Linked DNA regions of Oryctolagus cuniculus. The protein of the gene in region 6 purifies or fractionates together with the protein of the main gene of each other region. This does not show direct contact. Links are inferred from orthologs where the notes say so. Each region holds a gene or a part of one and is shown on either strand. Other genes may lie near its edges. The genes, in order: EGLN1, PRKCE, CDK9, CTNNB1, HSF1, HSP90AB1 and CDC37.

Region 1 (3,069 bases), on a different chromosome or scaffold from region 6:
GGATGCACACCCTTAGAGACACTGGGTTTAGTGCTGATGTTAGAGTCCAGTCAGCTTGCGTGAGCTTCTGAAGACTTGCGTGTCATCTCTCCCTTTTTTCTCCTTTCTGAGTCAAGCAGCCTTCCCGCTAATTCACACAGAGGAGCAGGCTGAACAGTTGGTAGCCAGAAATCATAAAAAGTCCTAAATGGAAACCAGAGAGAATCTTTTCTCTTGGATCCCATCCCTCGTCCTGAAGCTCAGTGCCTGCCTCTACCTCCCACTGCAGACTCTTTAAATGTTTTCTGACCCAGAAACTGCTTCATAGACCTTCTTTTCAATGAGATTTTGAGCTTGGTTTGATTGTATCCTTTTTAGATGAATAAATAACAGTTTGAAATAGTAAATCAGTGTCAACTCGTGTGGAACATAAGTACTCTGGGACCTGAGAGAAAGAGGAGGTGGTGTTAGACTGAGCAGTAAAGAGGCCAGAAGCCCAGCCGCGTTAGTGCAGCTCTGAGAAAGGGCAAGATCGTCCTAGTCGTGGTGAGGAAATTTGTGAGGAAAACGATAAGGCTGGCGAGTGAGAACGGCAGGTGGTGGGTTACAGTTGTTTCCTGGTAAGGACTTGGGGCTATGGTGGGAGGTGATCCAGAAATTAGAACTCTTGATTACTAAGTCACATGGACAGAAGACAGATATATCTGAGCCCTTTCCTATTACCAAGGCCACCAGAAAAAAATAGAAGAGGCCACCTGGCAAGAAAGGTGTTGAACTCTAGACAAAGCAGAGTGTGGCAGTCAGCAGACCCGTCTCTGATCGCAGCTCTGTCCTTCTCCAGTGAGAGATCCGCACCTCAGTCTCCTCGAGTTGTCCAGGTGCTCAGGTTCTGACTCAGCTCTGCATTTGGCTGTTTACTTCAATATGCTTCCTGGTTTAGTTTTGTCACATATACGGGGTCATCATTCGATCATGCTTGCCCCCCATGACCATTGACTAGAATTTGTAAGATATTTTAACTAATTGTTGCACTCTACTGAAGAATTAACGATTTGTGCCATGCCCTCAATTTTATAGTGTCTGTACATTTTCCCCCTTGCTCCTATCAGAAGATCTAACATGTACTATTTTATAAACTGGTGATGCCTCATTTATTTTTGGAATAAGATAGTCCAATTAAGTGTAATTTTCTGAAAAATGAAGTTAGCTACACTTTAAACCTCAGAACATAGTATAATTGTTTTGATAAAAATTCTAGAAAAGTCTTAGTATAATTTAACTCCTCTTGATGACTCAGGTTATAATTAAAAACATCCATCATTCCACTTTGCTATAATGTAATATGATATTCTCAGAAGCTTTTGAGACTTACTCTCCTTTCACTAAAGGCCCCAGGCTGCTGTGTATGGAATCCTTTTCTGTTTCTCACTTTTTCATTTAGTACTTCTGCTATGGATAATGTGCTGTTTCTGTAATAGCCATTCTTTTACCCTTTTGTTATCTGTTTCTGCTCTGTGGTGGGGTTGCAAAAAAGATAGTCAAGCAGTTTAAACAGATGTTTAAAAAGTCATAAATACTCAACTTTGTGACATCAATTTTAGCCTCTCCTGGTTCTCTGCTATACTCTTCAGTGTTGAGGCTACTGGAAAAGTGAGTTGTTGTACTCATTTGTCCTTTAGTATCATTCAAGTTTAGGCATAATTTTGGCATCACAAGTTTTAATATACCATCATAACAGCATACCACTACCCTACCCCCCAATGTGATCATTCTTACCCTATTCTAAATTTTCTTTTAGGTACGCAATAACTGTTTGGTATTTTGATGCAGATGAGAGAGCACGAGCTAAAGTAAAATATCTAACAGGTAAACATCATTTGGGGCCAGGGTATACTGGAACAAAAGTACCCTGCCATCAGGTGGTGCTTTCAGTAAATTCAAGTATAGTCTTTTTTAACACCATGAATAATTCTTGTTTTTGTCAGATTCATTAATTCCCTTTCTTAAAAAAGGACTTCCCTTAATGTCATCTTCATTATTATATTTAGCCTACAAAATTGCCAAAAGATTAGGAAAGTTTGAGGCAAAATCTGAGTAATTATTCAGTTATCGTCCAAGTTTTTCTGTGATTATCCTTTTCAGTCACAGGGGACTTGACTCTTGTTAATGGCCATCTGGCTACCTCTCGTTTGCCCCCAAGAAGGCAGTAAATATCCTTTCCTTTTTTAAGCATACATACTCTTAAAAAATATCCTCGATCTTCCATGTTCAATAGGGACATGAAGAAAGTTAATATAAAGGAGGTAAATTGAAATGCCAAAATGAGTGAATCAGCTTAGGCATGTGGACTGCATTATCTCCAGTGGTATACACAGACAGGTCAGCACACTTGTACCGAACCTGAAGATTCTTCGTTACACCAGTTCTCCTCTGCCCCCGCTCATGGACTCTCTCTTCTAGAGCAGTTGGTCTCAGTTTCCCATCTGATGGACCACTCGCTTTCTTTTCTTTAACCCTACCTGTATATCCAAAAGTCCATTAAGTGTTCACATTACTGATTAGCCATATTTTCATGAGCCATTGATAATCCCACTTCAGGCTTTTATAAACAACATACAAATTGAATGTTGATGGATTTTCTATGTATTTTTAAAGTAGTTATTTGTGGCAGAGCCCACAAATAATTGCTTTTTAAAATAAAAAGGAGACGAAATCATTCTCTATACAGAGGATGGTTTTACCCTTAAAGGTTTTACTAGTTGAAATGAATGCCTTCATCATAATAGAACACCACTGATAACATTTGGAAGTGCAAGTATAAAAGTTTTCAGATGATGTTGGTCCATACTGTTGGGAATTCAGTGGGAAGCAGTAGCAGAAGCTCTCTGGTGCCTAATGAATAAATGAATTTTATCTATTTTTTTACCTTGCAGGGGAAAAAGGAGTGAGGGTTGAACTCAATAAACCTTCTGATTCAATCAGTAAAGATGTCTTATAGAGCCTCTCATCCAGCAATACCCTCAGTTCACTACAATAATTGTTGACACTGTTTGTTAACTTGTGAATACAAATAAATGGGATAAAGAAAAA
Region 2 (3,753 bases), on a different chromosome or scaffold from region 6:
GGATTGCTTTTCTGGGAACTTTGGAGCGAGGAAGCCCTGCTCTAGGGACCAGGCAGCTCCTGGGAGCCCCATGCCTTTGCATGTTCTAGACTCTAGACAGAAGCCAACCTGCAGGGCTGTTGGCTGGCTGAGCTTCCGGCCCACTCCACCCAGCCCCTCACCTACCCTTATCTCAGCCTGGGATCACCGGAGTTTCTGGAAGTGGCAAGAGCTGAAGCAACCACATTCTTTGGAGACTGGCTAAATAAGAAACAGAACCCCGTTCTCGGGCATGGCGTGACGTTGGGATGCGAGCAGAACTCGGTTTATTTTGAGCAAGATTCAAGGGAAACGAGCAGACTCAGAGTTTCCAGGTTTCCATGCCGTGTAGACAGGAGGGCAGCCGGGATGACTTCAGAGCACTTAGCAGTGTCTTAGGGAAGGTCACAGCCATCGGTCGAGCCAGTTTTCAAGTCTCTGTTAGGTGTGGGTGGTGAGACGTCTTCAGGCTGACATCAAAAATCCCCTTATTATGTTTTTGAGTTGCTCTTTTTTAGCTCTGACAACTTACCTTGGGATGCTGTACTTAGGAGTTAGTTATTTAAAAAGAGAAAAAAGGCTCCTGCATTTGTAGGTTATTCCATAGGAAAGTATCAATGGCTAGGAAAGCTTTAAGAAAATGGAAATGTTAATTGGCTCACTGGAGAAAGAGTCCCATTGTAGCTGTGAAGCTATGGAAGCAATGACAAATGTCCCTGCATCAGAACCAGTGATTCTGCTCTGTGGAAAGCAAAAGCGGAAAATTGTAAAACAGACTTAGAAAAACCTTTGCAGAAAGTGGAGGGTTAATATGTTTGTACAGTACATTTGGACAGCCTTGTAAGAATGTTATAACACTGCTGGTCTCTAGACAAAGGAGACAAATAATCCACCCAGGAAGAAATACAATTAGAAAGCAAACACTTTAAAAGTGTCACGGCAAGTTATAACCGCATCGAGATAGCACTGTATACCTTGTAAATGAGCAAAAGCATTTTTAAGTGAAGGCACCCAATGTTGATAGATCAGCACGAAACTAACATGCTGCCATGTTGCTGGTGGTACATTGTATTTCTCCTCCTTTTGGAAAATTGGTTAGGAAATGTGCAGAATATTTAACCCTTCAATTTACTTCTGGGAATTTCTATTTTAAGGATGTAACACAACAGAAGTTCAAAATTTTCTGTACAAAAATACCTAAGGCAATTTATTTATGAATATGTGGTAAGTGGGTAACACGAAGGAAATGACTAAATAAGTCGTGTGGTATTTACTTATTGAGTGTCAGCAGCCATGAAAGAGAAACGCTTATAAAATACTAGTTCTGTTAAATCCTATCCTGTAAAAGTATATGAGCATGTGGGTAATCATTTAACAAATGTGCAAAGCTGTACCAGACAGTGGAAGGAAATATGTTAGAGTGGACAGTTTTCCTAAACAGTTTTTAATCAGTTATAATATTTAAAATGAAAGGGATTCATTTTTTAGAAAGCATGTATGCGGTATCATTCGCGTTGCTTCTTTTGGTCCTTTCGTGCCGGATTGATGGGGCTGTTGTGGTTGGCCACAGGTCATGCTGGCCGAGCTCAAGGGCAAAGATGAAGTGTATGCCGTGAAGGTCTTAAAGAAGGACGTCATCCTCCAGGACGACGACGTGGACTGCACCATGACGGAGAAGAGGATCTTGGCTCTGGCGCGGAAGCACCCGTACCTAACCCAACTCTACTGCTGCTTTCAGACCAAGGTGCGTCTAGATAGAAGCTGGTGATCACCAGCCCGGAGCAGCTCCGTAGGAAGGGCAGTACGGCCTCCTGAGTGTCTTAAGTTTCGGTTTCAGAGCCTCTCCATTGCCTCTCCACACTCGGTGAAGTGGAATGGATTTTCTGCTTGAAAAGACCAGGGAGGATGTGAGGAGCATCCTCTATTTTTAAGGGCATGGGATTTTTCCACTGGAGGTTGTGCTTGTGAAGGGAGGAGAAGAGCCGTAGAACTGTGCAAATAGAGCTGGACAAAGCCAAGTAGCTCAACCCAGGGTGTGCCCTTTGGAAAAACCAAGAGATGTGGTTAATCCGTGTGCTTCTCCTAAGTTTCTGTCCCTTCTCAAATCACTTACCTGCTAAGTTGCTTTCAGGTCACATGAAAAAAGAGGAAAGGCCACCCTAATCGTTTCTAGCTTTGGTTAACGTCAGAGAAGGTACGGGATGTAAACAAATGCTTAAAATTCCACAGTGCAAGACAAACAGGAGCTTGGTGGGGTTTTGATTTTTTTTTTTTCCAATGTGCCATGTCACTGCCTGGGGACCAGAAGATGGCAGTAAAGAAGCGAAGATCATCTGGGGAAGCTGTGCCCCGACCTCTGAGTATCACAACTCATTTGTTGCTTATTCTTAGGACAGAAAGGAAATGCCACCCAGCATTCTTCATGAAGCTCTTGTTTTATTAGCCTTTTTGGGGGGAAGGAGAAAAGGTCTCTTAGGCTACATCTGGATTTGTAGCGTTGGCTTCTTGAGAAAGCAGAGATGACGTCACCTGTGCCTCCTGCCCACCCCCATCCGGAGCCCCGGGCAGAGCAGGGGCGTCCTGGAAGGCGAGTGCGTGCCCTCTGGCAAACTCCTGCCTCTGCCCGGCTGAATCCTGCTTAGATTCCCACGGTTACCCATTTGGTCGTTCAGCAAGTGTTCATGTTCCTGTCTGATACTGGCCTCTTTCTGTGTGCCTGGTGCTGTATCGGGTGCCGGCGCTGTGTGGTGAGCAAGCCCTCGGAGAGTTTGCGGCTCTTTGGTGCACCATTGCTCAGAGGGTATTTCTCAGAACCCTAATCCCTGGAGCAGCTGGGAGCACCGGGCATTCTGTGGCCCGTGGTTTGAGACACTGCAGTCTTGACCTCTGTCACAGAATTTCAACACACATCTGTTTACTGGCATCCCTGAAGAGAACTGCAGTGGAAAAAAAAAAAAAAGATAATCTTTGTTTAATCTACTATTTCCCAACACATTTTATCTCGAGACCCCACCACCACAAACACAACACCTACTCCACACGGAGAAACACGGAGAGATTTTTTTCCAGCCCTCTGCTCGCACAGGGGAATCAGCAGTATCTTCTGCAAACTCTTGAAATCTTTCTGCTTAACCTTCAAGGACACTTCGATTTTATTGTCTGTCAAACTTTCCTCTGAGACTCTTGTTTAATGAGACCTATCCGTTTTCTGAACAAGCACAGGGCTTATTAACCATCCTCATTTTGGATGCGTGTTGTGTAATACCTAGTATTTATGAGGAGCAGCCTGTGTGTATCTGTGTACATAGGCAGAGTCCAGCACACAGTCCAGGCTGGCGATGAGGTGAGCTTTCTTCTCCTCTCCATGACAGCACAACCCTAGATGAAGGAGAGAGATGTTGTGTCCGACTTTTCACTATATTCCTGGAATTATTCCAGGTGTCTTGGCCCAGGGCCTCCTACCTTGTGGGTCTCACTATCAGAATCAAAGGTCTTTTTAAGATTTATTTATTTATTTGAGAGGTAGAGTTACAGACAGGTCTTCCATGTGCTGGTTCATTCCCCAAATGGCTACCATGGCAAGAGCTGGGTCAATCCAAAGCCAAGAGCTTCTTCCAGGTCTCCCACATGGGTGCAGGGGCCCAAGCACTTGGGCCATCTTCCACCACTTCCCCAGGCCATAAGCAGAGAGCTGGAGGAGAAGAGGGGCGGCAGGGACACAAACTGGCACCCATA
Region 3 (4,288 bases), on a different chromosome or scaffold from region 6:
TTCCTGTGGATGTAGTAGAGGGCGCTCAGCGGCCCCGCCCCGCCCCGGCCCCGCCCACCTTGTCCCTGTGGCTGTAGTAGAGGGCGCTCAGCGGCCCCGCCCCGCCCCCTCCCGCCCCCGCCCCGCCCACCTTGTTCCTGTGGATGTAGTAGAGGGCGCTCAGCGGCCCCCCCGGCCCCGCCCCCGGCCCCCCCGCGGCCCCGCCCCTCCCCCGCCCCGCCCACCTTGTTCCTGTGGATGTAGTAGAGGGCGCTCAGCGGCCCCCCCGGCCCCGCCCCCGGCCCCCCCGCGGCCCCGCCCCTCCCCCGCCCCGCCCACCTTGTTCCTGTGGATGTAGTAGAGCCCGTTGAGCAGCATCTGCATCACCCTCTTGATCTCAGACAGCGTGAACTTGACCAAGACGTTGCTGAGCAGCCCCGCGAGGTCGTGCTCGCAGAAGTCGAACACCAGGTAGATGCTGCCCTTGCAGCGGTTATAGGGAGAGGCTGAGGGAGAGAGGGGTCAGGACACCCCCGCCCCCCCGCGCCCGCTCAGGCCGGCCGGCCGAGCAGGCAGGGCCCTGGCCCCCGGCCGCCCGCACCTTTGGTCCGGCAGATCTCGATCAGGTTCACCACGTTCTCGTGCTTCAGCAGCTGCAGGATCTTGATCTCCCGCAGGGCCGTGATGGGGAACTGGGGGAGGGGAGGGGAGGGGGGCCGTGAGCAGGGGGGCCGTGATGGGGAACTGGGGGAGGGGAGGGGAGGGGGGCCGTGAGCAGGGGGGCCGTGATGGGGAACTGGGGGAGGGGAGGGGGGCGTGAGCAGGGGGGCCGTGATGGGGAACTGGGGGAGGGGAGCCGTGAGCAGGGGGGCCGTGATGGGGAACTGGGGGAGGGGAGGGGGGCCGTGAGCAGGGGGGCCGTGATGGGGAACTGGGGGAGGGGAGGGGAGCCGTGAGCAGGGGGGCCGTGATGGGGAACTGGGGGAGGGGAGGGAGGGGAGGGGAGCCGTGAGCAGGGGGGGCCGTGATGGGGAACTGGGGGGGAGGGGAACCATGAGCAGGGGGGGCATGATGGGGAACGGGGGGGGGGGAGCCGTGAGCAGAGGGCCCATGGCAGGGCTGTGATGGGGAACGGGGGGGGAGGAGCGGTGAGCAGGGGGGCCGTGATGGGGAACTGGGGGGACGGGGGCAGGGGGACCGTGAGTGGGGGGTGGGCGCCATGGCTGGAGCACAGGGGTGAGAGCAGCGGGCCCATCTCAGGAGCCGGTCTGAGCCCAGGACCGGGGACAGCCATCGGCGGAAACACCTCACAGTGTCGAGCTGCGAGGCCCGGCGGCGAGCAGGGTGGGGGCTGCCTGGGGGGGCAGCGCTGTCAGCCGCCCGCCCCGCGTCAAAATCCCTTTGAAGAACCACGTGCGCGTTTTCCCTTCCAATTAAACAAGATGGAAACTCAGAGGCTGAAAGGCTTCCGAACGCTCTGCGCGGACGCCAGGGCAGGCGTGAGCTCCCCACCGGCCCAGCCGCCGTTCCAGGAGAGAACCAGGCTGAGCCCGGGCCAGATGCCTCGCAGCATTTCCGAGGCCACCACAAACTCGATCTCAGCCCGGGACTGCCCGGGGACGCACGGAGCCCGGCGCGGGGCAGCGCGCAGCCCGGCCGCCCGGGGACGCACGGAGCCCAGCGCGGGGCAGCCCGGCCGCCAGGCCCGTACTCACCCCCTCCTTCTCGTTCTCCATCAGCACTTTCTTCAGAGCCACCTTCTGGCCAGTCTGGCGGTGCTTGGCCTTAAACACCTCCCTGCAGGCCGACAGGGAGACCCTAGAGCTCACCCGCCGGGTTCCGCAGCGCCCGCCCGCCCCTCCCCCGCGACAGGAGGGGCGGCTCCGGGTGGGGCCGGGGCCCGGGCCGCGCGAGCCGCGCCCCTGCCGCCCGGCACCTGCAGGCTCCCTCCGGGCCCCGGCGTGCACCCCCCGGCCCCTTCTCTCCCCGGAGGCTCGCGGAACATCGCTGCGCTCACAGGCCCCGCTCTGCAGCCCCTCCTAGCGCCCCCCCAACACCGGCCTCAAGCTCCTCCCCGCCCGCCGGCGCCGCGCGGCCTAGCGAGACCAGGGCACAAGCCGAGGAGTCGGCGGCCGCCCGACCTCCTCTGGCCGGGCCCCGGACGTCCCGACGTCGGCCCCGAGGGGTGCAGGCCCAGAGCTCCCGGCCCCTTGGGGCCTAGCCTTACCCAAAGGTGCCTTGGCCGATCTTAGCCAGCTTCTCGTATTTGGTCACTTCATCGCAAAACGGACACTCCACCGAGTCGTACTGCTTTGCCATGGCCGCTTCCAGCGCGCCGCCGCCGCCGCCGCCGCCGCCCCCCGCCGCAGCCGCCGCCGCTCCCGCCCCGGGCCCTGCAGCCGCGCTCCAGGCCCCTCCGCGGCCGCGCCACTTCCGCTTCCACGGCCACTTCCGGCCTCGCGGCGCCGACCCCGCCTCTTCCGCCCGCCGCCCGCCGCCAGGCCCCCTGGGACTTGTAGTTCCCGGGAGGCCAGGGGGAGCCGGAGCTGCAGAGGCGCCGCCGCCGCCGCCGCTGCCCCCGCCGCCGCCGCCGCCCGTGCTGGCGGCTGCCCCGATCGGGGGCGCCGGGAGCCGGGGCGCTGGGGCTGGGGCTCGGGGCGGTGCGTCCCGCTGCATCGGCCCAGGCCGCCGCTGCTGCCGAAGCTGCTGCAGCCGCTCGGGCGCCCGATCCGGGGCCAGCCGCAGTGCCCTGCTCCTCCTCCTCCGACGGCGCCGCCTCCGCCGGGCTGCGCTGGGCGGCGGGCGAGGGGGGGCCGCCCCCGAGCCGCGGCCTGGGGGCTCCCTGGCCGGGGCTCGGGCCCGGGGCTGCCGGGCGAGGGGGCGAGACGCGGAGAGCCGACAAGGAGGCGGCCGGAGAGCCCAGGAGGGGGCGCGTTATGAAGGGGGAGGCGCCCCGGCCTCGCCCTCCCCTCCCCCTCTGCCCGCCCCCTCCCTCCGCCCACCCTCCGCGGCCGCACCTGCCGCCGCCGCCGCCGCCGCCGCCGCCTGCCCGCCCGCCCGCTCGCTGTCGGCCGGCCGCCCTCGGCGCGTCACCGCCCGCGGCCCCTCCTCTGTCTTCGGAGGTGGGGCCCCGCGCTCCACACCTGGCTGCGGGGCGCCCTGCCGCGTGCCTCAGTTTACCCCCACTGCCGGCTGCCGCGCGGGGCCCCCGCCTCCTCGGCTCCGAGCGCTCCCCCAAAGGCGGAGGCAAGAGGCGCCCAGGGAGCGAGAACCACCCCCGCCGCCGCCGCCGCCGCCGCCCCCGGCCCCGGCCGCCCGCCGTTGACATGGCAACCGACAGCCGCCAGGGGGCGCGGCGACACTGGCGGCGGCTTCGAGCCAGGCCCGGTCCTCTGGAGCCTCGCCCCCCACCCCACCCCCGTTCTCCGGGAGGAAGGGTCGAGACCCCGACGAGCTGCGCCGGAGCTGAGGGACCTGGGGTCGGTACTCGCAAAAGCACCTAACGTGTATGTCTGCTCAGGGAGTGCTGGCCATTCCTGCCGAATCCTGAGTGCACGGCGACCCATTTTACAGAGGAGGACGTTGAGGCCCGGGGTGTTAGCCCTTGTCACCAAGTGACAGAGCTGGGGTCCGGACCCATCCTCCTGAACCTGAAGCCTTCTAACCCACGCCACTGCAGGCCTGCTGTCCCGGCACAGGCACCAAGCCCGCCATCCACCTGGCGCCCCTCCTGTCCCCGCCCCTGCCCGCATCCCACCCACTCTCTCTCCCTCTGTCTCCCTCTCCTCTCTCTCTCCCTCTCTCCCTCTCTCTCCCTCCCTCCCTCTCTTCCTCTCTTCCTCTCCCTCCCTCTCTTCCTCTCTCCCTCTCCCTCCCTCTCTCCCTCTCTCCCTCTCCCTCTCTCCCTCTCTCTCCCTCCCTCCCTCTCTCTCTCTCCCTCCCTCCCTCTCTCCCTCTCCCTCTCTCCTTCCCTGTTTCCCTCTCTCCTCCCTCTCTTCTCTCTCTCTCTCTCCTTCTTTCTCTCTCCCTCTCTTTCCCTCTCCTTCTTTCTCTCTCCTCTCTCTCTCTTTCCCTCTCTCCCTCTCCCTATTTCCCTCTCTCCTTCTCCCTCTCTCCTTCTCTCTCTTTCTCTCTCTCTCTCCCCTCAGGCCCCAGGAGCTCTGCCCAACGAGCAGCCCCCAGCAGAACTGGCTTTTGTGCCTCAGCTGCTCCCCTTGTCCCCTCCCCTCCCCCTCTGCCCTCTGCGTGGCTCCTGAGCTCCCCAGGCTGGCCTGCCTGCCTGCCTGCCTGCTGTCTCCCTCCCAGCCAG
Region 4 (3,753 bases), on a different chromosome or scaffold from region 6:
ATTAAGATTTATTTATTTGAAAGGCAGAGTTAGTCAGAGGCAGAGAGAGAGAGTGTCTTCCATCTGCTGGTTCACTCCCCAGATGGCCACAATGGCCAGAGCTGCGCCGATCTGAAGCCAAGGACTTGGGCCATCTTGTATTGCTTTCCCAGGCCATAGCAGAGAGCTGGATCAAAAGTGGAGCAGCCAGGACTTGAACTGGCGCTCATGTGGGATGCGGGTATTGCAGACCAGGGCTTTAACAAATGCTACGATTTTTTTTTATGTGAAATTAAATTTTTATATTGATCAAAATAATATCTTCATTGGTAAGATGTGTGTTGATACTTGTAATCAAATTACTATAAATTTGAAATTAGAAAACCTTCACTAGCAAACATGCTTTTATGTTGCAGACTTTATTAGAAAAGTAGTTTTATTTGTAAAAACTCTAAAATTCACTGTTTTGATCTGTTCACCAAAATCTGCTTTATAAAGGTATATTCGGTTACCTGTGTTAAATTAGAAAACAGCTGACTTGTTTAATTGAAAATGTAGTGTTTTTAAAATCCCATTGGACCTCTACTGTCCAAAGGGGAATCTTTGACGTTTTCAGTGAGGTTAAAAAAGAAGAGACCCTCAGGAATTCTGAGACGTTGATTTTTGCATAGGCTTTTTTCTCCCTGCTTTCAGCATTAGAGTTTTCGTGCTTTCTCATCACCATCCTGACTAGCCGTCGTTTATACTTTACTGAGAAGAGGTGTGTGTCCAGGAGGAACTTGGACTTAGATACTCGGCAGTGAGGAGATCCTAGGTCTGTTGCACATGTATCATGTGGTGAAAGAGGTTTTGGTGTTTTTAGGGCATGGTCCATGATATCTAGCAGGCATCCCAGTGACTTATGTTAAAATCTGGTTAAGTTTAAATCCTAATAACTTTCGATTAACTCTTTTTTAGGGTAACTTGACGTTTGCTATACAACTGTTTTGAAAACCCTCCGTGGACAATGGCTACTCAAGGTTTGTGTCCTAAATCTTGGTTGCTGAATTGAGGCTCTGCTTCTTTGCCATGAACCCAGCCTGGCTCAGATCCCCCTGCTTTCCTCTCTCCCTGCTTACTTGTCAGGCTACCTTTTGCTCCATTTTCTGCTCACTCCTCCTAATGGCTTGGTGAAATAGTAAACAAGCCACCAGCAGGAATCTAGTCTGGATGACTGCGTCTGGAGCCTGGGTGCAGTACCATTCTTCACTGATTCAGTGAGTAACTGGTAGGTGCTCCCCCTGAGGGCATAGGTGTTTCGCCACTGAGCTGATCCTGGCTTATCATTCTGCTTTCTTTGCTGTCTTTCAGATTTGACTTTATTTCTAAAAATATTTCAATGGGTTATATCATGATTTTTTTTTAAATTAAGGTAACATTTTCAGCGTACTGATTGTTAATACTGTTTGGTTTTTACAGCTGATTTGATGGAGTTGGACATGGCCATGGAGCCAGACAGAAAAGCAGCTGTTAGTCACTGGCAGCAGCAGTCTTACCTGGACTCTGGAATCCATTCTGGTGCCACCACCACAGCCCCTTCTCTGAGTGGCAAAGGCAATCCCGAGGAAGAGGATGTGGATACCTCCCAAGTCCTGTATGAGTGGGAGCAGGGCTTTTCTCAGTCCTTCACTCAAGAACAAGTAGCTGGTAAGAATGTTACTGCCTTATTAAAAGTCAGAATGCAGGTTTGAGAATTTATTTTTGTTAAAAAAAGACTCAGCTTTAACCTGTTGTGGCTTTACCTGCTGTGCCACAATGCTGGCCCCGAGAATTTGCAATTCTTATCAAAGGTAGTGTGGGTGGGGAAGAGAAGGGAGTGTTGGAATTCCTTGCCTTCTCTGACTCCACTTACCCTTATATTAGACCAACTGATGCTGAGTGACAAGTCATGGATGTCACCTTTCCTTTCTGGATAGCACACTCTTCAGTGAATTCCGAACCGTGGATAGTAAATGTTGACTTTCTCTTTCCTAGATATTGATGGGCAGTATGCAATGACTCGAGCTCAGAGGGTACGAGCTGCCATGTTCCCTGAGACATTAGATGAGGGTATGCAGATCCCATCGACACAGTTTGATGCTGCCCATCCTACTAATGTTCAGCGTCTGGCCGAGCCTTCCCAAATGCTGAAACACGCAGTTGTCAACTTGATTAACTATCAAGATGATGCAGAACTTGCCACACGTGCAATCCCAGAACTGACAAAACTGCTCAATGACGAGGATCAGGTAAGCAGTGCCATGGCTAGCTTCTGAGTCACTTTGAAGGAACCTGTAGAGAGCTGTTTCAAAATGGCTCCCCAGTATCAGTATAGAAAACTAATGATGTCTCTTAATTATAGGTGGTGGTTAATAAGGCTGCAGTTATGGTCCATCAGCTTTCTAAAAAGGAAGCTTCCAGACACGCCATCATGCGTTCTCCTCAGATGGTGTCTGCTATTGTACGCACCATGCAGAATACAAATGATGTGGAAACGGCTCGCTGTACTGCTGGAACCTTGCACAACCTTTCCCATCATCGCGAAGGCTTGTTAGCCATCTTTAAGTCTGGAGGCATCCCTGCCTTGGTGAAAATGCTTGGGTAAGGAAAGAGGTCCAAGTGCCCGACGCTGAGAAGCAGCAGAATGCAGTCATAACATTTCTCATGAGGCTTTTTCCTTCTTTCCAGCTCACCTGTGGATTCTGTATTGTTTTATGCCATTACAACTCTCCACAACCTTTTATTGCATCAAGAAGGAGCTAAAATGGCAGTGCGTTTAGCTGGTGGGCTGCAGAAAATGGTTGCCTTGCTCAACAAAACAAATGTTAAATTTTTGGCTATTACAACAGACTGCCTTCAGATTTTAGCTTACGGCAATCAAGAAAGCAAGGTAAAGAATGGTTTTTATGTGGCTTTCATGGAGCGTTGGAGGCCGTGCAGTGTTATGTCAGTCCATGAACTGACAGTCATACCATGCGTCACTCATGTTTTGGGAAAATTGGGCATCTCCATTTCTTTAAGTATGTGAATGACTAAAGCACCATGCTAAGCACACTTTTAACAGGAGGCAGTGTTCTCTCTGAACTTTAGTTCTTCTGTGGGAGATAGACATTGTATTACAGGGCTGGGAGGGCACATGAGAGATGAAATAGAACCTGTTTTAAGGGTTCAAAGAGACCTAACAGAGGAAGTAATCATCGAGTTCACCTTTTCAGGATGAGAAGGGATTGATTAGACGACAAATGAGAAAATGGCATCTTTGAAGCTCCTAGAAAGGGAAGGGTGTGGCAAGTCTTGTGAATTTAAGAAATTCAAAAAAGAGATGAGGTAATTGAGGTGGGGGCCGACTCCAGGGCTCTGTAGAGCGTGTTATAAAGGGCAGTGGGAAGCTGCTTTCAGCAGAGGCAGAGAGTGGAGACTGGTTTCTGAAAATGGAGGCAGTATCTGGAGGTGGGTGTATAGAGGAAAGTAAAGGGCAAGAGTGAGTGATGATTTTGGTATCTCTTTAAAGGGATATGATCAGAAAAATCAAAGGGTCCAAATGAGTTGCATGTGTGTGTTCTGGGTCAAATTTTCAACTGATCCGTTTTGATATAACCTCTATATTTGAACATTAATATTGTATAGCAGCATGTTTTTATTTTTTCTCCCTCTTCCTTTGCTATGATCATTGTGGTAGAAGGAAGTTGGGCTGGTGATTCCTTAGGAGGACTGGGATGCCTGCTTTGGGGTGAATATACTGAAGGAAGGGAAGTT
Region 5 (3,753 bases), on a different chromosome or scaffold from region 6:
AAATAAAGAGGCCGGCACCGCGGCTCACTAGGCTAATCCTCCGCCTTGCAGCGCCGGCACACCAGGTTCTAGTCCCGGTCGGGGTTCCGGATTCTGTCCCGGTTGCCCCTCTTCCAGGCCAGCTCTCTGCTGTGGCCCGGGAGTGCAGTGGAGGATGGCCCAAGTGCTTGGGTCCTGCACCCCATGGGAGACCAGGATAAGTACCTGGCTCCTGCCTTCGGATCAGCACAGTGCGCCAGCTGCAGCGGCCATTGGGGGATGAACCAACAGCAAAGAAAGACCTTTCTCTCTGTCTCTTTCTCTCTCACTGTCCACTCTGCCTGTCAAAAAAATAAATAAATAAAAATAGATAAATAGAAACAACCATTCTTTTAAAAGAAGGAAGGAAGAAACAAGACTTGGGGAAGGATGAGTTCAAGGACCCATGCCATCTCCCCCGTTCCTGCTGGCTCAGAACTGCTGCGGCCCCTCTGCGTAGACTGCGATCCTGGCACCGCCTCGCCTCAGCCCTGCAGCCTCGTGCCCTCCCCACACCCGATGTCTGGGTTTTTTCCAGAATGCACTTTAAAAAAAAAAAAGTTTCCTTATTTTCATCTACTTGGAAGGTACAGCAGTAGAGAGAGAGAGCTTCTCTCCACCAGTTTACTGCCCAAATGCCCCCAACAGCCGGGGCTGAGCCAGACGAAGCCAGGAGCCCAGAGCTCCATCCGGGTCTCCCCCGTGAGTGGCAGCGCGCCCAGGTGCGTTAGGAAGCTGCGTGGAACTGGAGCTGGTGCCCGGAGGCGGGCTTCACCTCTCAGGTCCTGGGCCCAAGCCCACGTCAGCCTCCCGTCCCCGCCGTCTCCTGAGGCTCTGTCCAGCTCTGGGCCGGGTGGACAGCCCGGCTGGAGGAGGCAGCGGGCCCAGAGCCTCTCTCCTCGTGTCAGGCTCACGGCTGTGAGGGTTCTGTGAAGTAGTGCGATGGGTCACCGGATTCCAGGCATCGCTCTGAGTTAGAGCACAGAGCCCCAGGGACAGAGGGAAGGGGTGCAGTCACCCGCCGAGCAGAGGAGGGAGCTTCAGGCTGCCGCTGCTCCGTGACGTCCTCGGGCCCGAGTCTTGGGCAGGAGCCCTTCATCTGCAGGTCTGCAGGATGCCGTGGGGGGCCCCAGTGCACCCCCGCTGTGGCCGGAGACTGCGTCTGCACGCATGTGGATTCGCACCCTAGGTGAAGTGGGCCAGGTCCTCGCAAGCCAGCTGCCCAGCGCCCACGACGCTTAAACGGGTTAGGTCCCTGGTATGAGCCTCACGTCAAGGAAATCCTCAGCCCCAGCAGGCTCTGCTGGCAGATCCGCTCCCCAGGTGGCCCGGGCCAGAGCCAGGAGCCTGTCCCCCACTCTGCCAGGCAAGTCAGCAGGGCGCTGGGCCCTGCATGGAGCGGCCGGGACTTGGCCCCGCGCTTCTGTGGGTGCAGTGTCCCAGGTGGCAGCTTAGCCCGCTGCACCAAGCGCCAGCTCCTGCGTGGGGGACTTTCTGTTCTGCTTTTCTTTTTTTTAAGATTTATTTTTTATTTACTTGAGAGCCACAGAGAGAGAGAGAGAGGTCTTCCATCTGCTGGTTCACTCCTCAGATGGCCGCCACAGCCAGAGCTGCAAGCCAAGAGCTTCTTCCAGGTCTCCCGCATGGGTGCCGGGGCTCAAGGACTTGGGCCATCCTCTACTGCTTTCCCAGCTGGACCGGAGGTGGAGCAGCTGGGACCTGAGCCGACGCCCATACGGGATGCCGGCACTGCAGGCGGCGGCTCTACCCACCCCTTCTCGCTTGCTTGCTTGCTGGAAACTGGCTGTTGCTGGGCCTGATGGGGCGGCTCTGGAGATGAGACAGTGAGACATCCTCCCTGGAGTTGTGGTCGCTGATTCTGTGCAGCCCCGCGCTGCGTCCTGTGGCCCAGGCAGGGTCTGAGGAAGGGGCTTCGCCTCTCACAGCTCTGATCATCTGACCTCCTCGGCTCCCTTGTAGGAGAGGGCGTGGTCTCGGTGCTGGGGCCCGCCAGCCTCGGGCTTTCCTGGGAGCCTCTCCACACCTCCTTCCCTGCCTGCCTCCTCGGAGCCCGCAAGGTTTCCAGTGCACGCCCTGGGTACCTGCCCTGGCGTCCAGGCCCCCGTAGGTGTCTGGAGCCTCTCCTTGTCTCCTGCCTGCCTCCTCTGCTTGGTGCTCTGTCTCCCCCAGCAAGCTTTGTTGACAGCTGCCTCTGGGGGCAGGCGTGCGGCCTAGAGGCTCAGACACCTCCATCCCATGGCAGAGGCTCTGGCGCCTGACCCCAGCTTCCTGCTAGCGTGAACGGTGGGAGGCCACTGCCCACCTGGGAGACCTGGCTTGAGCTCCTGTCACCTGGTCTCCGCCAGCTCGCGGCAAGCATTTGGGGGTGAATCAGCAGATGGGACAGCTGTCTCTGCCTCTGTCGTCTGGATGCTGCCGTAGACCTGCCCTGGGGGAGCCCCTGTGCAATGGGACAGGCAGCAGAGACGCGCCCCAGCCCCACCTGCCATGCCCAGCTGCAGGGGTGGAGGGAGGCTCGCTGCTGTCGCTGGGGAAGAAGTGTCCCCTCCGCAAGTTGGATTCTGGGGGCGTCGGCCGCGGGGCTCTCCCTGCTGCTTCGGGTCCCTTCCTCCGTCTCTTGCACGCCCCTTGCCGTGTCGTTTTCCTTCTCTCTGGAGTTCAAAAGCAGCTCCAGTTCCTGTCCAGAACCACAGGCCCTTGGTTCTTCCCGGTCCCTGCCTGCTCCTGCTCCCCACTGTGTGGACTCTGCCCCGTCGGAGCCCCCACAGCTGCTCCCAGCACAGACGCTGTGCCAGACCTTCCTCCTGGTGCCTGGGCTGCGCTCAGGAGGACAGAGGGGCAGCGCACCCCGCCACCGTCTGTGCCAGGGGCTGGGGCTGCGTTCCCTCCCCTCCGACGGGAATCGGGCTTGCTCAGTGCCGGCCCCCAGCACGTGGGCCTGAAGGTGTGGCTCTTCTCATCCCAGGTGGGGCCTGGGTGAGGGCCCCGTTTCTGGCCACACGGCCCGGTGCCTCACATCATGGGGCATGTACAGTGCATATGTGTCTGCCGGTCCCCGGGAGACGGTTCCTCCTCCTGCCGTACCCCTCCCCCCGAGCCCCTCCATAGCCCCACCCCATGGGGTGGGAGGGCGCATCACAGAGCTGGCGGGGAAGGGCTGCAGCCATGCTGCCTGGCCCATGCTGCCACGTGTGACCACCCCGTGTCTCCTGCCAGAGCGGCAACAGCTTCCACGTGTTCGACCAGGGCCAGTTTGCCAAGGAGGTGCTGCCCAAGTACTTCAAGCACAGCAACATGGCCAGCTTCGTGCGGCAGCTCAACATGTGTGAGTGCCTGCCGGGCCCCGGCCAAAGGACGGACTCTGGGTTGACCAGTGCAGGATGTGAAGGCCAGCAGCCCGGGCTGGGGGGGAGGTCCCTTCCTGGGGGAAGGGTCCTTGTGGGAGGGGCCGGAGCCAGGAGCTGGGAGACCACAGGGTGCCCCCTAGCCAAGACCGCCAGGCTGCGCCCCAGTCTGGCCTATGGCCTCAGGCAGACCTGCTGCCGCCTCCTGTGCAGACGGCTTCCGGAAGGTGGTGCGCATCGAGCAGGGCGGCCTGGTCAAGCCCGAGAGGGACGACACCGAGTTCCAGCACCCGTGCTTCCTGCGTGGCCAGGAGCAGCTGCTCGAGAACATCAAGAGGAAAGTGACCAGCGTGAGTCACTCCCGCGCGGC
Region 6 (4,344 bases):
CCTCCCCCACCCCATTCACTTCCCCCAGCCACAGGCTTCTCACAGACCGCGGTGAAAGGGACAAGGACATGGAGAGAGACCCTTGGCCCAGTGACGGCCGGGACGACCACGTGGACAGCGCAAAGAAAAGAAGGGTCCTCCTTTGTTCTCTGGAAGCCAGCATGCGGCCAAAGCTGGTTAAGGAGGGGGAACCGGGTGCCGGGGCTGGCCGGCTGGGGAGCACGGAGCAGGGCGTGGCCAGGGTCTCCTGGGAAGGACGCGGGTCCAGCAGACTTTCAGGGGACCCTTGGGAAAGGCAGGTCCGCCGGCAGCCGGAAGGCAGGCAAAGGGTCCAAATTGGGCCAGGCGGGCGCGACCCGCGGCTCCCTGGGCTGCCGCATGGCCGAGGGTCGCAAAGGAACTTGGTTCCCACGGGGCAGGCGACCACCGGCAGGGGTCCCTGGAGACCCTCCCCTCCCCCTGCCCCCGCAGCTAGAGACGCGAACGAGGGCGTAAAATCCGAAACCAGCTTGGGAAATAGCTTGAGGTGACCCTGTAAGCAGGGCGCCTCAACCAGTGTTTAGGGATTGGGGGGCTGCCGCGAAGGCTCGGGAAGGGATGGGCACCCCCAGTCTCGGCTTGGATGGAGGCGCCCGAAAAACATTTCCGCTGCCCGAGGTGTGCGGCCGGCGGGAGAGGCGGAGGGCCAGGTGCCCCTCAGCGGCGGGGCAGTGCCGCGCTCCGGGGGCGGACGAGGCGGGTAGCAGGGCCGAGCAGCGGCAGCCCACCCGCTCCGCCCAGGGGTCGGCCCGAGCTGCAGTACCTACACTGCCCGGGCCGCAGCGCGAGGGGAGGAGCCTCGAGGGGAGGCGGCGGCGGGGGCGGGGCCGCCGAGACTGGCCTGGAAACTGCTGGAAGTGGCCGCAGCACCGCTGCCGCCGCTCCTTCCGCCGCACGCCAGCAAAGAGTCCCCTCCCTCCCGGGCCGGCGCCCCTCCCCCGCCCCAGGGGGCTGCAGGCAGCTGGGCCGTTCGCCGGGAGGAGGGGGGATATATGTGGCAGATCCTAGTTAGACGACTGGGTGGGAGTGACTACCTCTGCTCGCTTCAAGTCCCCGTCGGCTCGGCCTCCTGGTTGTGGGAGGGCTTTTGGGGGAGCCGGTGGGGTCCTCGCTCGCAGATCCACTGTTGAGGCATATGAGCACTCTCAGTCCCTAATCGTGGCAGGGGTCACGCCCTGGCCGTGCAGAGAACAGGAGCTCACGAGCCCACACCGAGGCTGGCGGCTCTGGCTCTTCCCCGCCCGCCCCCTATTCCGGACCATGACGTCAAGGTGGGCGGGCGCCGGCAGGTGCGGGGCTCGCGGGCGTCCGCCTTTAAGGCGGAGGGATCCGGGGGAGGCGGCTGGGCTGTGCTTCGCCTTATATAGGCTGGCTGGGGGCTCCCAAGAGCTCTCTTGAGTCACCCCCGCGCTGCCTCGTGCCGTGTGCGGTTGGCAGTCCGGGCCCTCCGTGCTCTCTCGTGCTCGCAGCCCTTTCCCTTCAAGGTAAGGCAGCCGCGTCCCTGCAGGCCGTTCCCCCGCGGGTGCTGTCGCTGCGCAGCTCGGGAGCCAGACGCCGCGGTGCGGGGCGGCCCGTGGGTCCCCGCGCGCTCGGGCTGCGGGGGTGGTGCGTGGAGGCTTTCCAGCGTCCGGTCGGCCTGCACCGGCGCGCCGGGCCGGCGGCGCGGGGCCGCGGCGGGGGCCGGCTGCACGTGGTGGCCGCGCCGGCCCGGGGCGCTGCCATGTTTGCCCCTCCACTTCCGGACGCGGCTACGAGGGCCGCGAGGCGGCCGGGTCCGCGCGCGGGTGACTCAGCACTGCGCGCCTGGGTTGCCGCTGCTGCTCGGCCCTCGAGGTCCGTGCGGGACCCGCCGCGGGCAGAAACGCATTTGGCGTGTGGCAGGTCTTTTCCGCAGCCCTCGAGTGGGAGGGGACAGGCTCTGGAAGATTCATAGGCTCCCTCCCCCGCCCCTCCCCGAGCGCGGAGATTGTTCTCGAAGCTTCTGGAGCCCGATGCTCCGCCCCAGTGCCCGGATGCTGGGGCGATGGCGAGGCGCGCTGTGGCGCCCCCTTCTCGCGGGGCTGCGGCCGACGCATGTCCGGCAGTGACGAGGGTCGGTCCGCGGCCCCGGGCACCATTTTACTTGGGTGCGAGCAGGTGCTGGGGCGTCACGGGGCAGCCTTCGCCTGCTCTGTTCTTTGTCCCGCGTGGACTGCCCCGCGAGCCGGTTACCGCTGTTTCTCGGGTGTCAGTGTGCCCTGCCGCGTGGGGCTGCGATCGGGCCTTGGGCGCATCCACACTACAGGGGTAGAAGAGCTGCCTACGGGCGAGCAGTTTGAGAATAAAACCAGCGCCCACATCAAAGAGACGTGTGGTCAGTGATGCTGGCGTTTGAACGTGGGGCGGGAGTCCCTTGTCTGGGTTGGGACCAGCGTGGTGAGCGGCTGCTGGTCACCCCTGCTCCATGCTACCTGCTTGTCTGGTTGAGGAGGGCTTTGCTCTTGACCTGACTCGGTGGTTGTTAGTATTCACCCCACAGGTTTTAAGAAAGGGCGTGTCTTCAGTAACCCCGCCCAAAGCAGTTTAAACACCATCTGAATTTCAGAAGCGTCAGTTCTGGGGCCGCTACCTTCCTGATTCTTGACCCTCCTGTTCCAGATGCCCGAGGAAGTGCACCATGGAGAGGAGGAGGTGGAGACTTTCGCCTTCCAGGCGGAAATTGCCCAACTCATGTCTCTCATCATCAACACCTTCTACTCCAACAAGGAAATCTTCCTGCGGGAGCTGATCTCCAACGCGTCTGATGTGAGTTCCTTCGTGTTTCATGGCTGGCTGGGCTCCTCCCGAAGGGGGAAAACTGATTGCTATTGAAGGGGTTTGTCCGGGTGCTCCCTGGACGAGCGGGCCAGTGTGACCACGCGGCTCCTAGTCCAGTGAGGCCCAAGGTTCTCACTTCCAGGGGTATTTCAAGGACGCAATTTTCTGTTACCATTAAATGGCACGTTTATTACTCACTCTAAGAGTTCACAGTTCGTGTAGGATGATGGGGCAGTCAGAGTTACAGCGTGAGAGTAGCAATCCAAGAGGTTCCTAACGCTGAAGAGACGGCTAAGAAATCCGCTGTTGGTGCTGCCTTGCAGGCCCTGGACAAGATCCGCTATGAGAGCCTGACGGACCCCTCCAAGCTGGACAGCGGCAAAGAGCTGAAGATCGACATCATCCCGAGCCCCCAGGACCGCACGCTGACGCTGGTGGACACCGGCATTGGCATGACCAAGGCCGATCTCATCAACAACTTGGGGACCATCGCCAAGTCGGGGACTAAAGCCTTCATGGAGGCTCTGCAGGTAGGTGGCAGCCAGCCCTCGACGTGCGGCCGGGCCTCTGTTCTCTGCAGGACACGAGTCTGACCGTTCCCGCTTCTCTGCAGGCTGGTGCCGACATCTCCATGATCGGGCAGTTCGGCGTCGGTTTCTATTCTGCCTACCTGGTGGCCGAGAAGGTGGTCGTGATCACAAAGCACAACGATGACGAGCAGTATGCCTGGGAGTCTTCTGCTGGGGGCTCCTTCACCGTGCGCGCCGACCACGGTGAGTGGCCGGGAGGCGCTGCTTCACAGGGCGAGTGTGCAGCAGGCGGTCCTGGGGCAGCTCGCTCACCGCCTGCCCTCCTGGTCTGCAGGGGAGCCTATTGGCCGAGGCACCAAGGTGATCCTGCATCTCAAGGAGGACCAGACTGAGTACCTGGAGGAGAGGCGGGTCAAGGAGGTGGTGAAGAAGCACTCGCAGTTCATAGGCTACCCCATCACCCTCTACGTGAGTATGCTTCCCGCGGAGGCAGCCTGCCTGTGCTTCTGGTGGGCTGGGCCATTTGCTTGCCCTGAGGGTCGGTGCTCAAAACTGACGAGTGTTTCTGGGTGCTTTAGTTGGAGAAGGAAAGAGAAAAGGAAATCAGTGATGATGAAGCAGAGGAAGAAAAAGGGGAAGAGAAAAAGGAGGAGGAAGATAAGGAGGACGATGAGAAGCCCAAGATCGAAGATGTGGGCTCCGATGAGGAAGATGACAGCGGCAAGGACAAGAAAAAGAAAACCAAGAAGATCAAGGAGAAGTACATCGATCAGGAAGAACTGAACAAGACCAAGCCCATCTGGACCAGAAACCCTGATGACATCACCCAGGAGGAGTACGGCGAGTTCTACAAGAGCCTCACCAATGACTGGGAGGACCACTTGGCAGTCAAGGTGAGAGGCCTTGGGAGTGGGCCGGGGTGGAGAGGCAGGGGGTAGCCCAGCTGAGAACCGGGAGCATCGCTGATGGCCCTGCCCGA
Region 7 (4,439 bases), on a different chromosome or scaffold from region 6:
GGGGGAGGGGGCGGGAAGGGACTGGGGTGCCCAGACCCTTTGTTTGCTGGTGTGTGAGTGTGAGTGTGAGTGTGTGCGCGCGGCGGTGAGACCCGCCGGGGTGTGAGTCCGTGCGCGCGCGTGCTCGGGCCGTGACGGCCACGGAGGAGCTGGACTGGCGGCTGGAGGGGGGGAGGGGGAAGCGACGGGGACTCCCCCGCCCCCGCCCGCCCACTCGCGGGTTTGAATGAAAAGCGAGGGGGAGGGGCGGCGGAGGGAGGGCGCTTTTGGTCCCGATGGCCACTCCCCCTCCCCAACGGGCCGGGGAATCCCTCCCCACCCCCACCCCCATGGAGCGATTTTTATTCTCTCCAGGGACCCCCCACTATCTACAGAGGCTCTGCGAGGAACTGGGGAGAGGCGTCCCAGACACAGGTGGCCGGAGCTCCTCCAACTCCACTTGACCCTCGCGGAGCACCCCTTAATCTGAGATAATCCTGGCCCGAGGCTGCAACACGGCCTTTTATCCCTGCATCCGAGAGTGGGTGGAGCCGTGGAGCAGCGCGCGGCCCAGCTGCCCCGAGCTCGGGGCAGTGGCATCCTGAAGCCGTTCTGGCCGAGGGGAGGGGTCCCAGCCGAACGGGGAGGGGCGACGAGCAGCCCCAGACCCGGACGACGAGGAAAGCCCCCTACCGCCCCTCCCCAGTCCCCTACTGGGCCGGAGGCCAGCAGCACTGGCCACTAGCTGGACATTTGGCGACACCCAGCGGCCGTGCGTGGGGACGCCACGCAGGGCGCCCGAAAACCTTTTGGGTGATTCCAGAGGGGGGGTGTGCGCGCAAGTCGTCTCTCACGAGTGGCGGGCACCGGGGGCTGTGTGTGGTCCCAGCGCGGGAAACCCTGCCCTACCGTCGACCCCCTCCCCTCCCCGCCACGTAGGACAGGATCTTACCGCCGCTCGCTTAGACCCCTCCACCACGGCAGGGTCTCGACCCCCCCTACTCGAACTGGGGAGTCCCCTCGGGTCTCGTGCCCCTCCCTAGCCCGGAATCCAGTCCCCCACCTTCAGGGGAGCTGGGTGGGGGTGGGGGTGGGTCTTCGAGTCGAGGCCCCGCCCCTGCGGTGGCCTCGGGCTGATGTCACTGCGGCTTGGCCAACGGGACAATCCAGCCCCTCAGTCTCGTCAACTGCCCCAGCGCAAACGCCCCCCGGGGAGGGGGCGGCAGGAGATGAGAGGCGCTCCTGGCTGCCGCGCTGCCCTGTAGGCCCCCCAGGAGGTGCCGGGCAGAGTCTCCCTGCCCAACGAGGCGGGGTCTCGGCGGGAACTCCCTGGCCCCTAACACGTGCGCAGGTCCCTTTAAGGCGGGCTTGGTCGCCAGGGCCGCCGCCGCCGTTACCAGGGATGTGACGTCACGCGCGGGCGGGGGCTGCGCGCGCGGGCGGAAGCGGAAGGGGCGGGGCTCCGCGGGCCGAGTGTCCAGCGCTGCCGCCGCCGCCGCCGCCGCCGCCGCCGCCGCCGCTCGAGCGGGCGCGGGCTGGGCCGTGGAGGCAAGATGGTGGACTACAGCGTGTGGGACCACATCGAAGTGTCCGACGATGAGGACGAGACGCACCCCAACATCGACACGGCCAGCCTCTTCCGCTGGAGGCACCAGGTAGAGCGCGCGTGCCCGGCCCCTGCCCCCTTTCCCGGGACCGCTCCAGAGTTCTGACCGCGGGTACTGCCCAGGGGACCCCGCGGTTGTTGACGCCCGGGATTCCAACCTCACGGTTTGGAGTTTCCCGCCCCTCGATTCCACGCCGGGGCTCGGGGAGCGCTGGGACCCCCACCCCCACCCACCCCCAGTCCCTGCGCGCGACCCCTGGGGCCGCCTTCGGATTCTGCACGGGTCTCTATTAACCCTTGAGACGCCCTCGGTCTGTGTATTCCCAGGGCCACCGGGGGGGGGGGTCCCTCGCCTGTAGGAACCTCTGCCGGCATCTGAGGACACCCCACCCCGCCTCACCCCTGCCCCCAGCCTCATCAACCCTGGGACGGGCAGGTGGTCCCTGCTGGCAACTCAGGGACCCCATGGTCACCACCCCCTCTTTGACGTATTTGCCCACGACAGAGCCCCCAGAGCCAGACCCCAGAATCCTAGCCGTGAGCAGCCCGTGGCTTCCCACCCATCCTCCCGCCCGGAGGTGCTCACCCCGCAGCTCGCACGGAGCGCGCACCTCCCAGAAGCTTCCAGTAGGAATTCCCGTCCCGGGCCTCCCTTCTGGCAGACCTGTATCCAGAAAGCCCTAGAAGGGCCCTGCCCCATCCTTCCGGGATGTGGCCTGGGGCCTGCTTCTGCCTCCCGGGCCCACCCCCAAACCTTTCCTTAAAGCGGCCGTCTCCTGGGGCGTGCACCTGCTGTGCGGGAGTGTGGGAAGAAAGTTCCAGCCCTTCTAGTTCTATTTATTATGAAATATTTAAGACCTCCGCAAGGCTCCCCAGACTATTTCTGTCGCGTAAAGAGGTTAATCTTTACTCTGGCGTGGAGAGCGGGGTGGGGGCCGCCCCATTTCCTGGCCGGCTGCTGTGGAGGAGGGGCGGGGTGCCCGCCCAGCCCCCAGCCCCCTCTCCAGTTTGCGAGGTGGGGGGAGGTTTGTGATCTCTCTGAGCGCTGCAAAGCTGAGCTAACGCGGCGCCCGCTTCTGGAAAGATCCTGGTGCAGAGACTGGGATGGAAAAGTTAGAGGTGGCCTGGTGGCTGCCACTCTGGGTTCCCGGAGAGGTGGGCGTTTGCCCGCCGCCCTGGGCTCTGCACCCACTGCCGGCTCCGGTTCCCACTGCCCTTCCCACTGCCCCGGGAGGCAGCAGGGACGCCTCAGGGCCCTGGGCCCCCGCCACCCACGTGGCGGACTTGCTTTGAGTTCCTGGCTCCCGGCTTCAGCCTGGCCCAGCCCCAGCCCTTGTGGGCATTTGACGTGATGATGGACTAGCAGCTGGGAACTCTGTCTCTGCCTCTGAACTTTAAAAGATGGAGGCCGGCGCCGCGGCTCACTAGGCTAATCATCCGCTTGCTGCGCCGGTACCCCAGGTTCTAGTCCCGGTCGTGGCGCCGGATTTTGTCCCGGTTGCCCCTCTTCCAGGCCAGCTCTCTGCTGTGGCCCGGGAGTGCAGTGGAGGATGGCCCAAGTGCTTGGGCCCTGCACCCACATGGGAGACCAAGAGAAGCACCTGGCTCCTGGTTTCGGATCAGCGCGGTGCGCTGGCCGCAGTGGCCATTGGGGGATGAACCAACGGCAAAGGAAGACCTTTCTCTCTGTCTCTCTCTCACTGTCCACTCTGCCTGTCAAAAAAAAAAAAAAAAGAAAAAGAAAAGTGATATTGCTTATTTTGTTGCCAAAAATTTGTAACCAGGAATAGTCCTTTCGAGGCACTGGTTTTCTGTGAACTTTTTGAATCCAACTTATATGCCTGAATTTCAGACTTTTTGCACCCCGCTAAAGTTGCCTTTTGAAAGATTTATTTACTTTGCTGAGCCAATTTTTTGGTGAAGACTTATTTAATTTTAAAGATTATCCATTTCTTCTTTTAAGTTTTTTAATTTAAGATTTAGTTTATTTGAAAGGCAGAGTTACAGAAGGAAAAGGAGAGATGGAGCCGGTTTGCTCCACAAATGGCTGCAAGAGCCAGGGCTGGGCTGATCTGAAGCCAGGAGCCAGGAGCTTCCTCCAGGTCTCCCACGCGGGTGCAGGGGCCCAAGGGCTTGGGCCATCTTGCACTGCTCTCCCAGGCCACAGCAGAGAGCTGGATCAGAGTGGAGCAGCCGGGACTCGAACTGGTACCCATAAAGGTGCTGGCGCTTCAGGCCAGGGCTTTAACCACAGCACCAGCCCCAAAAGTTATCTTTTATAATGTCATTTCTCCATGAAATTTTTTTTAAAGATTTTATTTATTTATTTGACAGGTAGAGTTACAGACAGTAAGACAGAGAGAAAGGTCTTCCATCCGTTGGTTCAACCGCCAAACGGCCACAATGGCCGGAGCTGCACCGATCCGAAGCCAGGAGCCATGTGCCCCCTCCTGGTCTCCCGTGCGGGTGCAGGACCCAAGCACTTGGGCCATCCTCCATGAATTTTTGAAGCAGCATTCCAGGCGTGGCCAGTTGGGTTGGATTCAGCTCCTGGATTATTGGCACGCCAGCCAGCCGCTCGCTAGCTCTGGATCCAAGCGTATGCCCGGGACCCAACCCGTGGGGGTCGATGCCAGGGTTTCCTGATTTATGGATTTTTAAAGACGTGTTTATTGGAAAGGCAGAGTTGACAGAGGAGGAGAGAGTCCATGTGCTGGTTCCTTCCCTAAATGGCTGTGACAGCAGGGCTGCTCCAGCTCTGCCCTCTGGCTTTCCTGATGCGCGGCCAGAGCTCAGATCCTCGGGCTCTCGCCTGCTGCTTTCCCAGGTGAATTAGCAGGGAGACGGATCAGGA

The links.
Region 1: the proteins of HSP90AB1 (region 6) and EGLN1 purify together in Homo sapiens (affinity purification with western blotting; 4 studies listed by BioGRID, with this or other methods). This does not show direct contact. The link is inferred for Oryctolagus cuniculus from reciprocal best matches to the Homo sapiens genes HSP90AB1 and EGLN1.
Region 2: the proteins of HSP90AB1 (region 6) and PRKCE purify together in Homo sapiens (co-immunoprecipitation; 3 studies listed by BioGRID and IntAct, with this or other methods). This does not show direct contact. The link is inferred for Oryctolagus cuniculus from reciprocal best matches to the Homo sapiens genes HSP90AB1 and PRKCE.
Region 3: the proteins of HSP90AB1 (region 6) and CDK9 purify together in Homo sapiens (affinity purification with mass spectrometry; 6 studies listed by BioGRID and IntAct, counting the BioPlex papers as one, with this or other methods). This does not show direct contact. The link is inferred for Oryctolagus cuniculus from reciprocal best matches to the Homo sapiens genes HSP90AB1 and CDK9.
Region 4: the proteins of HSP90AB1 (region 6) and CTNNB1 purify together in Homo sapiens (affinity purification with mass spectrometry; 3 studies listed by BioGRID, with this or other methods). This does not show direct contact. The link is inferred for Oryctolagus cuniculus from reciprocal best matches to the Homo sapiens genes HSP90AB1 and CTNNB1.
Region 5: the proteins of HSP90AB1 (region 6) and HSF1 purify together in Homo sapiens (affinity purification with western blotting; 3 studies listed by BioGRID, with this or other methods). This does not show direct contact. The link is inferred for Oryctolagus cuniculus from reciprocal best matches to the Homo sapiens genes HSP90AB1 and HSF1.
Region 7: the proteins of HSP90AB1 (region 6) and CDC37 purify together in Homo sapiens (co-immunoprecipitation; 12 studies listed by BioGRID and IntAct, with this or other methods). This does not show direct contact. The link is inferred for Oryctolagus cuniculus from reciprocal best matches to the Homo sapiens genes HSP90AB1 and CDC37.

The regions. Positions count from the first base shown.
Region 1 is NC_091444.1:50,885,262-50,888,330, reverse strand, and holds part of EGLN1 (egl nine homolog 1), read left to right. Parts: intron 1-1,777; coding exon 1,778-1,845; intron 1,846-2,912; coding exon 2,913-2,977; 3' UTR 2,978-3,069. UniProt on the Homo sapiens protein: Cellular oxygen sensor that catalyzes, under normoxic conditions, the post-translational formation of 4-hydroxyproline in hypoxia-inducible factor (HIF) alpha proteins.
Region 2 is NC_091433.1:156,694,951-156,698,703, reverse strand, and holds part of PRKCE (protein kinase C epsilon type), read left to right. Parts: intron 1-1,588; coding exon 1,589-1,762; intron 1,763-3,753.
Region 3 is NC_091432.1:231,217,746-231,222,033, reverse strand, and holds the start of CDK9 (cyclin-dependent kinase 9), read right to left. Parts: upstream 2,940-4,288; 5' UTR 2,656-2,939; coding exon 2,207-2,655; intron 1,777-2,206; coding exon 1,695-1,776; intron 672-1,694; coding exon 581-671; intron 486-580; coding exon 319-485; intron 1-318. UniProt on the Homo sapiens protein: Protein kinase involved in the regulation of transcription.
Region 4 is NC_091441.1:106,483,740-106,487,492, reverse strand, and holds part of CTNNB1 (catenin beta-1), read left to right. Parts: intron 1-936; 5' UTR 937-985; coding exon 986-998; intron 999-1,437; coding exon 1,438-1,665; intron 1,666-1,992; coding exon 1,993-2,246; intron 2,247-2,359; coding exon 2,360-2,598; intron 2,599-2,685; coding exon 2,686-2,887; intron 2,888-3,753. UniProt on the Homo sapiens protein: Key downstream component of the canonical Wnt signaling pathway.
Region 5 is NC_091437.1:168,064,919-168,068,671, forward strand, and holds part of HSF1 (heat shock factor protein 1), read left to right. Parts: intron 1-3,255; coding exon 3,256-3,364; intron 3,365-3,596; coding exon 3,597-3,733; intron 3,734-3,753. UniProt on the Homo sapiens protein: Functions as a stress-inducible and DNA-binding transcription factor that plays a central role in the transcriptional activation of the heat shock response (HSR), leading to the expression of a large class of molecular chaperones, heat shock proteins (HSPs), that protect cells from cellular insult damage.
Region 6 is NC_091436.1:125,882,577-125,886,920, reverse strand, and holds the start of HSP90AB1 (heat shock protein HSP 90-beta), read left to right. Parts: upstream 1-1,316; 5' UTR 1,317-1,523; intron 1,524-2,676; coding exon 2,677-2,823; intron 2,824-3,158; coding exon 3,159-3,365; intron 3,366-3,448; coding exon 3,449-3,608; intron 3,609-3,699; coding exon 3,700-3,833; intron 3,834-3,943; coding exon 3,944-4,258; intron 4,259-4,344. UniProt on the Homo sapiens protein: Molecular chaperone that promotes the maturation, structural maintenance and proper regulation of specific target proteins involved for instance in cell cycle control and signal transduction. Undergoes a functional cycle linked to its ATPase activity.
Region 7 is NC_091447.1:67,013,940-67,018,378, forward strand, and holds the start of CDC37 (hsp90 co-chaperone Cdc37), read left to right. Parts: upstream 1-1,433; 5' UTR 1,434-1,532; coding exon 1,533-1,634; intron 1,635-4,439. UniProt on the Homo sapiens protein: Co-chaperone that binds to numerous kinases and promotes their interaction with the Hsp90 complex, resulting in stabilization and promotion of their activity. Inhibits HSP90AA1 ATPase activity.